Arabidopsis thaliana: one gene and its partner. The protein of the gene in region 1 interacts with the protein of each later gene in a biochemical or structural test. Each region holds a gene or a part of one and is shown on either strand. Other genes may lie near its edges. The genes, in order: XRI1 and AT1G32530.

What was found.
Region 2: the proteins of XRI1 (region 1) and AT1G32530 form a complex in vitro, tested with the Arabidopsis thaliana proteins (one study listed by BioGRID).

What each region holds. Positions count from the first base shown.
Region 1 is NC_003076.8:19,757,281-19,762,812, reverse strand, and holds XRI1 (x-ray induced transcript 1), read right to left. Parts: upstream 3,933-5,532; 5' UTR 3,743-3,932; intron 3,695-3,742; exon of another isoform or gene 3,617-3,694; 5' UTR 3,581-3,616; coding exon 3,558-3,580; intron 3,541-3,557; exon of another isoform or gene 3,119-3,540; intron 2,947-3,118; coding exon 2,888-2,946; intron 2,796-2,887; coding exon 2,673-2,795; intron 2,585-2,672; coding exon 2,448-2,584; intron 2,103-2,447; coding exon 2,039-2,102; intron 1,962-2,038; coding exon 1,859-1,961; intron 1,772-1,858; coding exon 1,734-1,771; intron 1,653-1,733; coding exon 1,569-1,652; intron 1,464-1,568; coding exon 1,192-1,463; 3' UTR 798-1,191; downstream 1-797. UniProt on the Arabidopsis thaliana protein: Required for mitotic division of the generative cell nucleus and the development of mature tricellular pollen grains, and for male and female meiosis.
Region 2 is NC_003070.9:11,758,760-11,764,385, forward strand, and holds AT1G32530 (RING/U-box superfamily protein), read right to left. Parts: upstream 3,877-5,626; 5' UTR 3,782-3,876; intron 3,642-3,781; 5' UTR 3,628-3,641; coding exon 2,008-3,627; intron 1,423-2,007; coding exon 907-1,422; 3' UTR 668-906; downstream 1-667. Other genes in the region: AT1G32520 (TLDc domain protein), read right to left, coding at 1-183, 315-513.

The DNA of each region.
Region 1 (5,532 bases):
GTGCAAATAAAACATATATCTTCCACCTAGAAGTAATAATCTGTTTAAGAAAAAAATGTGTTCTATTTGTCATTTTAATGTGTGACTATAACTTCTTTTTAGCCGAAAATGGATCTGATGCCAATAAATAGCTGAAGTTAGAGAAGAAAAGATAGAGCAAATGTGAGCAGAATTTTTTTTTACTCTGGCGTAAAAGTTTACTTAAATTTTTATGAAGTAAAATTTTACTCTGCTTTATTATGTTTTAGCTATAATTTTCTCTTTCCTATGTTTTGCTGATTAGATGAATAAAAACTGAAACAAGCTGAACTGAGTAAAATTTTAATTTTCTGCTCACTTTTTTGCTCTAGCGTGTATAAATCCAATGAGAACCAAAGAGTAGAAAGAAAAAAAAAATACTTTACCCTTCATTTGTCTGTAGTAAAAGTTTTAACCCTCAAATCCTCCAACAATGGGATAGTCAATAAGTCATAACCAGAGTCAAAAGAAAGGATCATATAAATTCATCATATAATTGATAATTGTTTAAAGTATATATTGATTTGACCATAATCGAACGTGATTGATATTGACTGATGATATGCGTCATGCTTGATTGATCTCAGTAATATCCTTTGGATTGACTGATGATAAACGTGATTGATAGCGAAGATCTCTAGACTCTAGGGGATTTGCTTAAGCGTCAATTTAGGAGAACATATTTTAAAATCCCTGAACATACTAAAACCTCAACTATTTTGATATTTTCAAAGCATACATTATAAACTTATATTTACTTTTAAGTTTGTTTTTAATCTCTCTTCTTGACCATGAAACGCAACGTTTCACTGCAATGTAATGGATAACAAAACTTGCTTATACTTTGTATAGCAGTCCAACCAGAGAGAGAGACAAGTTTCAGGTAACATTGAGAACCAGGGACTTTATACAAACAAAAATATCTACCACATGGCTAACAGATCTTTAAAGTTTTCTTTCATACTACAGATACAAAAACGAGACAAGAACATGATTCATAATAAGATCTTGAAGAGTTTTTAGCCGCTGTACCGATAAAAAGGCCCTTGACTGGAACTATATCCGATAAAAAGGATTTAAGGGCCTCTGAGAATAAGGCAAAAAGTTTAAAAGTTTTCTGCAGTGAATTTTTAAAACCTTCTATCAGCTTATTACTACTTACTTAACTTAGCTTTAGCCTCTAGTCCTCATTATCGTGATGCTTCCTTTTCCTCCTTCGGTGCGGATTTTAGTCTTTCCAACAACGGGTTTCCCTGAGAATGCTGAAGTTTGGATCACTGCAGGCTCTTCTATGTGTGCCTTTGGTTTTGCTGGTGGATTTCGGATTTTCTGGTTTATGTCCTTGAGAGTCATTCCACCGTGAACCCCACATGGTTTGATGAATGCAAATGGATAGATGATTGAAGATGGTAGCTTTGAAACTGGCCTTGAAAACGATTTCCTACCTGCTATTACCAATTAACATTACAATAATGTTTTGTTTTCTCATTTTCGTCGTGAAATAGGTGTGTATGAGACTCATTTGAGACTAAACCATTTTATTATTTTACCTTTAAAGATAACATTTGGAGAAGATCGAGTCACAGGCCGCTGAACTTCCCTAGTCTCTGTTTCTGGTGGCACATTCAAATACTCTGCATCAAACACAAGGATGTTAGCAAGAGAAGCCAGAGCTAGGACAGGCTAAGGAAGAGATGAAAACAAAGATATCTAACCTGAAATATCTACTTGAACATCAGGTGAACCAAAGTTTCTGAGAAAAACAACAATAGTAACCAGTTAATGAAGCAAAATGATGCTACTAAACATAACATAAGCAAAAAGAAAGGTTGAAACATACAAGTCATCAGGTAGCATTGGAGTCTCAGCATCATTTAAGCAATCAGCATACCACTCTTCAGCGTACAGATCAAGGCCCTCGAAGCTAGAGGCAGAAGCGTCTTCTGAAAAAGAGACAGTGTTTTGTTTAAATGGAAAACACATTGGCACGACTGACTCGGAAGAATTATAAGAGCCCAACCTGAAAACCCTTCTATAAGCTGAGACCCTTCGGGTAAAAGCTCATCAAATGTGTCATCTCTAGCCTGAACATGCATAAAGAATCATCAATCAAAGCATTAAAGATAGCATCAGAACCTCATACAACCTCCTAAGCTATCCAATGTTACTTCGATAATAAGATCACAACTGAATTAGGTAGCCAGATACTAAGAAAGTAAGAGGCTTGAATTTGTTCTAGGAGTAGAAGTAAAAAGTCTATGAAACAAAACAGAATCCCATTTGCAAACGTTTGAAAGGAACATGCATTCACATTGCAGTCCATATGCAGTGTGATAATCAATAAGTGAGCAATCAGTTTGGTTATCTGCAATGCATATGTGGTCATTTGGTGCCTAGCTAGAGACAAGATATGGGTATTGTATACTCACACTTGATTTTAAGATTGCAGAGAAACTCTCACTGCTGAAAAGGGATGTTTCAGGTTGGTCTTCAAACTGCAACATCCGACGCCTTTTTAAAGCAGAGCGTGTCTCACTGTGCACTTCCATTTTCCTGTTCGTGTCCTCTAAAGCCAAAGATTCTTTAGATTAGAAACCATCGTCAACCATACATCAGGAATGGAAATGATCGATCACTTGAAAAAAAAAACCCACCTGTTGTGACATGGTAACCCAACTCGCTACATGCCTTCACAGGAGTATTTTCATCATCAAACATGTACGAGTGATCTTCTTGGTTCAATGTGACTTCAGTCATCGTGCAGTCAGGCACATCCGCTGGAGTTAAGATACCAATTCAATCATGGTTATTACAGTGTTGTAAGAGTTAACTGATTCAATCATGCTCGTCACAGAGATGTAAGACTTACAGAAATGAGACTGAGGTTGGTGATTATAGTTATCCACTTGCCAATTCCATGAGGAGCTACTGCAAAAAATTAACACCAAACATGATCAAACCCATAGTACATTTTACATGATTAGAGACTACTGTTTACTACTTTAAAGCTTTTTGAAGACTGAAGAGTCTCAACGACTCAAAACTAAGCAAATAGAGTAAGCACATTGCATAGTTTCAAGCTCAATCACAACATCCCAACCTGGATTCTGACCATAGAGCACCATTTTGACAAGAGAGGGCTTACGAAACTCGGGATTTAGTAGAAATGATAGAGCATTGACAAGCTAAAATCCAAATCCTAAATGATTGATGAAACATTAAATGACCAAACATTTCTTAACTCACAATTAACATCAAATCCAACATTTCATCTTCGCATTAAAAACACAGAAATCAATCAAAACCTAAAACCCAGTAACCACCACCAAATCTAAGCGAAACCACAACGATTACAGTGAAACCCATACAAGAGAACACACGAATCAGACTAAGAAAGCACAAAAACACACAAAAATCGAAGAATGTACTAATCAATCAAACACACAAATCCAAACGAGAAAACAAAAACCAAGAAACACATCAAAATCAAAAATAAACCAAATCGAGATGAAATAAGCAGCGATAAAGGAGAAATCTACCGATCGTCGTCTCCGTAATCCATCGATCTTCTTCTGTCGTCTACAACTTGTGGGAATAACTAGCCGTTGCCCAGAAAATGAAAACACACACAAATCAACAATAAGAACAAAAAACATGCACGCTCCAAAGACCCACAAAGCAATATATATATATGAATCAGAAAAAGAAGCAGTTTTTGACTGACCTTGTGTGTGTGCTCGAGATATGTGCTTAGTGCTTACTGCTTAACCAAAAAAAAAAACCAGAAAAAAAAAAAGTGTTAAAAGCGGCGAGTTTCTCTCTCTAGGACACTGGTCAATATTTATAGTCTTACTGCATCTCTATTTATGAGGGAAGAGAGAATTGCAAGAGAAGCTTTTTATTTTTATTTTATTAGTGTATATTGAGAAGAAGAAGAAAAAGAAAAGACCATTGCGAAGCACGCTTTCTAGTTTTTTTTTTTTTTGCAAGTTTCAATGTGTCGTGGGTTCCTCTTTTCTCGCGATTTTCTTTACTTAATTGTTGCAATTAATATTACTAATCAATCATCACTTTCTTTTTAATGTAATCTGTTTATTTTTGGATATAACATTATTCGCTTTTAGATTTCATTTCAGTAACTATCACTTAATTCGTGTAAATTGACTCTGTCTACTGTATCGTTGAATTCATAAAGCAAGATAAATCAAATTTTCATAGTCAGTAGTCACTGATAATGTCATAATGATTTTGACTTATCTTTCCAAGACATTTAGAAATGAGTATTTGTTATAAATTATACTTCATTTCCAACCTAATCATATGAGTAGTTAAAATTCTATGAGAGTTTTTTGAATTTTGGCTAATATAGTTAAATCCATCAAATTTAGTATTATTTTGTGAAGACTAATTTTATTCAAATTTTGTTGATTTTATTGTAACTGATAAAGGAATGAACTTATTTTATTCAAATTAGTTTTGTAACTTTTTTTTCTTTATTAAGTAGTGACAAAATTAGTTTACTTGTGTATATGATTCATATGTTGACAAAAAAAAACTTAACGCACAATAAATAAAATATACGTTTCGTTGAACGATAATTGAAAACGTTAAAGTTTCATGATGTTTTAAATAAAAACAACAAAATATAACGCCTATTTTAAAAAAGTAAAAGTCAATAGGCTCACGTTTTAAGCTTATTTGCGGATTTTTCAATGTAAAACTTCTTTTTATATATTAGAGAGTTTGAAATATTATTTTTTAAACCATAAAATAAGAATATACTATCCTGTATTGGATTTTTTTTATGTTATGTGGACACCAAACCTATTCTATTTAATGATTCTTCATTCACCATTTATTATATAGTTGGTAGAACATAACTCTTCTTTCTTTATTTTAATTTATTGTATAGAACTGAACCCAAAAAAAAAAAAAATCTTTTACTAAATAAAAAGTTATTTAGCTAAAATTTATTATGTTTTTTTTGGTTCAGTTCTATATCTTTGGATTGTATTTCTCATTATATAAAGTTATGTAGCTAAAATTACAATATATGAAAATTTTAATAGTTCTTTTATAAACTGTGGGAGTTGATATTTTGAAAGATTTGATGGAATTTACTATTTAGATTTGGAGTGATTTAAGTGATATTTTAGGATATTTTGATTAGATTTGTACATTATGTTTAACAAATGCCAAACCAATCTTATGATTGGTCCAATAATTAGTGTAGGCTAAAAATTGTAATTGTGGCCCAAATCTATCACAGTTTGTTTTGGTCAAATATCATCCCAAGAACTTGAGCGAATTTCTTAGCAATATATGTATTTTAGATTAGCGTCACATTTGGTCTTCAGGCCAACTCTAGCGATATATGGCCACAATTTTCTAAGTTAATTAACAAAAGATGCACATCAAACTAGTTGTTGAAAGAAGTAAAAGCATCATAGATCATGGTAACAATACTATTACGAATACAATCCTCTACAGTGACCCAACAATACATTAATTTCA
Region 2 (5,626 bases), on another chromosome or scaffold:
CAAATGTATCGTAATAATCATCAGTACTTCTATATCCTTCCGGACTAAATCCACCAAACTTGAAAGACTTGTCTTTAGTGTAAGCTATGATAACACATGGACCTTTGAAGTCACAACGCTCGTGGAACTTTGTTGCACCAAACCCATCAATGCTTGCCTTGTAGCAACATTTTAACTCTCTTCCTAATAAAAAAGATTGTTATATAGTTGAAGAACTTTAGATAAGAAATATACTTATTCCTAGTGGTAGAATATATAAGTCCACATGTTGCTACAAGGACTTAGATTGAGAAGAAGGGAATAAATTTATTTACCTTTTAGGAAGGTTTTGTTTACCATTGAAAGAGAGAAAGGAATTTCGACATCGTCGTGGTAAGCCGGTTGTTGCGGCGGCCGGATATTGTCTATTTTCTTACCGGAGTTCCAACCGAATAGACTGTTGTAAGGACTTATTCTCTTCAAGGTCTTGAAGGTTACAGTATGAAATGAGTTTGAGATGGCACACGAAGCCATTTTCTTGCAAGTAACGGCCACACAACAAAACCCACAAGAAGAAAAGTAGACAAAGCATCAATAATTGTGGTTTTCAAGAACTTGTGGTTGTCATTGTTTTGCTAACAAGTGTCCAATCCGGTTTAACCAAACAAAACCAAAAACAAACCAAACGATAGTTGATTTTTATTTGGTAAAAACTAGAGAGGCATGTTTCCTCCAAATCGAATTCATCAAGATAATCACGATAATAAGTTATTTTACATCGTGCAAAGATCTTTCATCGAAAAAAATCAAATTTCCTGAGTGTAAAAAGCTCTGAGGAAGAAGCTAAACATATTATTTGTACTTACAAAGTAAAACCTGAAGTTGTGGTGATCTCTCTGAAACCCAAAGAGAAGCTTATTTCTGCTTTTATGAGGTTGCTCCAAAGATACGGATTCGCTGCTGAACCAAACCTCGGCAACAAGGACAAGTGACTTTGCTTCCGCCGTTGTTGCTCGCGAAGAAGCTATCACTGCAACTACCACACACAACTTGATGCGCACAAGGAAGAAACACCACAGAGACTTCATCTTTCATACAGATTATGCATTCTCGATCATAGTTTGCTTCATTGTCATAAGACCCTTCAAGCTTATCAATTTCTTCAAGCAGCTTAGCAATGTTTTCTCCTTGAGATTTTTTGGGTTTCCAAGCGTTGTTGGATATGTGGCTTGAGTCACTATCTGAAGAGGCTTTGAGTCGACCGAGTTCTTGCTCCAGTCTTTGGTGATCGTCTTTGTGTCTTTGGAAGTCTAGTTCAATTTTGAGTCGTAAAGTCTCAAGCTTTCTCTTGTTGTGACCCTCAGCTGCTTCTTTTGAGCGTTGTTCTTCCTCCATTTGAGCCAGAGCCTCCTCTTTTGCCTTCTGCTCTTGCCTCCATTTCGCCTGCAAATAACATATGAACAGGTAAATATAAAAAGAAGTTGATAGACTAACCATCATTCCATGTTTAATTGAGGTAAAGTAAATTGATATTTCAATTATCAGTCATCAACCACAGTCCAAGTAAGCAAATCTAGAGCAAGGTTTTGAACACAATGTGCAGCAACATAGATAACGTACCCGCAAGGCGCAAACAGGTAAAACGTCAGGAACGAAAAGAAAATATAGACCACCATGTAGAGAGAAAAGCTATCCAGTGGAACATATCAATAGGTATAGCAAATCATTTGGCTTCTACAACTCGAGACGGATTCTCCAAGATTATATTCATATCAAATCCAGGTTCCATCTACCCTAGCAAAATATGTGGCAGACACAGACTATACCTCTTGAATGATCTTTGAAGTCTTATGGCATACTACCATCTAAGACAGAACCAACTTCGCAACTAGATGTGTGCCTCAAATGATAACGTACGTAAATATTTTGAATCCTAAGTAAATGTACTTCCCACAATTCTAGAGTTAAAAGTATAGAGGATCTAGAGAACTTTCACAGTATAAATGAATATAATATGAACCAACGTACCTCAATCTCCTTTTCATACTCTGTGATTTGAGCTAAAGTCTTATATAGGGCCTTAATCTTTTCTTTTTCAGCTGTAATCTCATCCTGCAACTTCAATATCTGTTTCTCCCATGCCACAAGCTTCTTCAAGCATTTTTTCTCCTTCTTTGATGCTTCCATGCACGCTTTAAGCGATTCTGATGCACTTAATTTGGATCCCTCCCGCTCTGCTCGAATCTCTGCATTTTGATTCTCAAGCTTTCTTACAATTACATTGGCCCTGTCATTTTGACTGCAAGCTTTTCTGAGTTCAATTTCCTTGTCAGTAAATCTTTTCGCAGTTGATTCTTCAACAGCCTGTTTCCCCTTTTTCAGCAGTTGGATTCCTTCTCTTTCACTACTCAATGTTTTAAGCTCAGCTAATTCCTCGCTGACCTTTTGTGCGGCTTGCATTGCGTTCTTCTGAGCCCACTCTTTCCTTTCCTTTACTTTCTTCTCGAAATCCTTAACCTGATGAAGCAGATCGACTATCACACAATCCTTATCATCCACACCCACCGATTCCAGATTATCATCAAGGTTCAGATCACGAAATTTCTCCAACACCGTACTAACACTTTCTTCACTCCCTGACTTACGTGGTTGCTGCCCACAACTCTTCACAATTGCAGGATCATTACAAGCTTTGCTATCACCAATAGTATCAGACGACTGTATTTGCTTCTGCTTCATACTAGCACGATACCCAGCAGCAAACGCTGCAACATTCCGCTTCAACAAGGACTTCATGGATGGCGAAAGATTAAACCTTTTAGGACAATCAATCTCTCTCTGCAACTTCAACTCAGCACCTTTCATAGAAAACCCATTACCAGAAAACTCAGGTCCTCCCCCATTCCCAAAACCCCAACCTCCATGGAATCGACACAACGCTGGTGCCATAAAACCAGCAATATCTAGAGTACCACCCGTACCAACATCTTCTACATTGCTATCTTCCTTAGTACAACAACTAGACCTATTCGTTGGGACATCCAGAGTACTTGCCCTACCAACATGGAGCTCACTCATTAACAAACACCACATTGCATCACCTTTACTCAAATTAGGCTTAACTTGTTGCAACAAGTAAATCATACCCGCAAGCGAATACTCCTCCAAATCTCTCAAATCCGTAAAACCAGTCTCCGTTCGATCCTCACCGTTCCCATTACTCCCACCTCCACCTCCACCACTATTCAAATAAGATAATGAATTATTCACTATATTAGTCAACACATCCAATTCACCATAACAGTGTCCATTACTCAAAACCGCTTTCAACGCAACACGTTCCTCATAGCCCAATTCAAGAAGCTTAGAAACAGCTTGATTATACAAAAACTCCAAATGTTTCAGCAAAATCTCTTCCAAATGCTCCTCTGTACAATATGCCCAAAAATTCTCCTCAGGATTCTCAGTAACGGAATTCAAATTGACAGAACCGGAATCAGTAAGACCAGGATGATAAACAAGGTTCTCAACAATTGATTGTGACATAGCAATCTTCTCGACCCAACATAACGGTGGGTCGGATCTAAATGCAGCGGCTTTGATCCTACGGGTCGGTTTCACGTGCTTCTCCCTCACAGTACAACCCATGCCAAAATCTGAAACTGAAAGAGAGATTGAAAAACAGAGAGACGATAAAAATGAAAACTTTACCAACCAAAAAACATGGGTTTGAAGAAATGGAATTAATTTATTGAATAAATAATGATTCGATGATAGAGACGGAGGAATACGAAGAACTTACTGATCGGTGGTGGTGGCTGAATTTTCTCGGCTAAGAGAAGATGAGAGTTTCGGCGAAAAGGTTATGCGAGAGAGAGAGAGAGAGAGAGAAACTTTGTTTCGGTTTCTTCCATTTCTGGCGGCGCCAGAGAATATATTTATGGGCTTTGAGCCCATTACTTGACTGAACTTATTTGGGCCCATATATCCGAATTCAAACCGACAGCGTTTTATTATAGGTATGGGTTAAAATCCGATCTGTTTGTTTGGTTTCGGTTATATAGAATGTGAAAACAGATTAGTTTGGTTCAGTTTGATTATGGTTTTGATTCGGTTTGGTTTTAGTTAGGAAATTAACTTTATATTATATAAATATAATGTTTGAACTAATAATATTTTAATATAGTTATACTAACATCTATTGTATTAATAAATTAAAATGTACATTATGATTATATTTATCTCAATTAGTTTAGTCCGATCGACTGGTTACATTAAACTCGGTTTCAAATTCTTATTCTTTTTATAAAACCAATTGGTTAAGAAGCAAATTTTGTTTTTGGTATAAACATTTATTTCAGTTTGGTTTACAGTTTTGTGATCCCTTCGATGCTTATCTATTCTAGAAACCCTAATCTATAACTTCTTAGATTTTGGCAAAGCAATGGACACATATATATAACTTCTTGCTTTTTGAAATTTCTTAGATTTTGGATTTTGGTGATATTCGCTTATATGTTTGGATGCCCAGTGGTACGTAAATGTTGTTCCTTTGGGTAATTAACCAATGTCCATCAGTCCATGCATCTGCGTTTTGGATGTAGAGTTTTTTTTTTGCTATAAAGCTTTTTTTATGTAGAGTTGGGATACCATTGGCATTAATAAACAAATAGTGTGCTAATTCCAGTTGTAATTATATACATTCTCTATAGCTTGTGTTACATCGTCTATAGAATTTACCACATTCTCATATAAGAAAAAACGAATGGAAACAAAAGAGGTTTTTGTATGCATCTTCTTAAGCTGAGCCATCATAGTTTGAAGTAAGACGTGGACAACTCCATAGCCGCACTTTAATGGCTATCCAAGCGTCTCTAGAGACGTCAATGTCCAAAATGTTCTTACATGACTCTTTCCTTTGTCCTTTTATTCTTTCTCTCCCATTCCTCCAAATCCCACACACATACATGCACATACATATACACGCATACGTTACGTAGATGCATACATACATGTATTGGCTTAGTGGTCATGATGGAACGAGATTGAGAAACTCAACTCTGTTTGCTTGCTTCTGGAAGGCATCTTCTGTTGAAGTGTCTTTTACAATTTCTTTAGACAAGATGTTTGGATTTTAAAACCCTTTTAACAAAAAAATAAATAAATAAAAATAAAGATATTTGGATTTTGCATTGTGACCTCAAATCTCTTTGTTCCCTAAGAACTTCGACCATTTTGTCAAATCGACATACCCATATTGCCTCCTTTTGAATCAGAGCATTTGTTCATGATGGTATGAATGGCATAGTGTTTCTTTTTGTATTCATAGCATTCGTCAAACTTTCACATTTTTATTCCGCTAAATCCATTACATGCTAGCCTCTATTCAAATAACATGGGTAGTAAAATTTAAATGTTAGTAGCCTCTATTCAAATCAGTTTTTTTTTTACATTTTAGTAATCTATTAAAATCAAGTTTTTAACGTATCATATTGAATATTCTGAATAAATAAATAAAAAATATATATTCTGAATAAATTATATTCATTTCAAACGTTTTTGATGTTTCATCACTTTATAACTATTCATATCGAATCACTTTTTGTAATATGTATTATTTTTACTATGACAATTAATGTTTTATTTC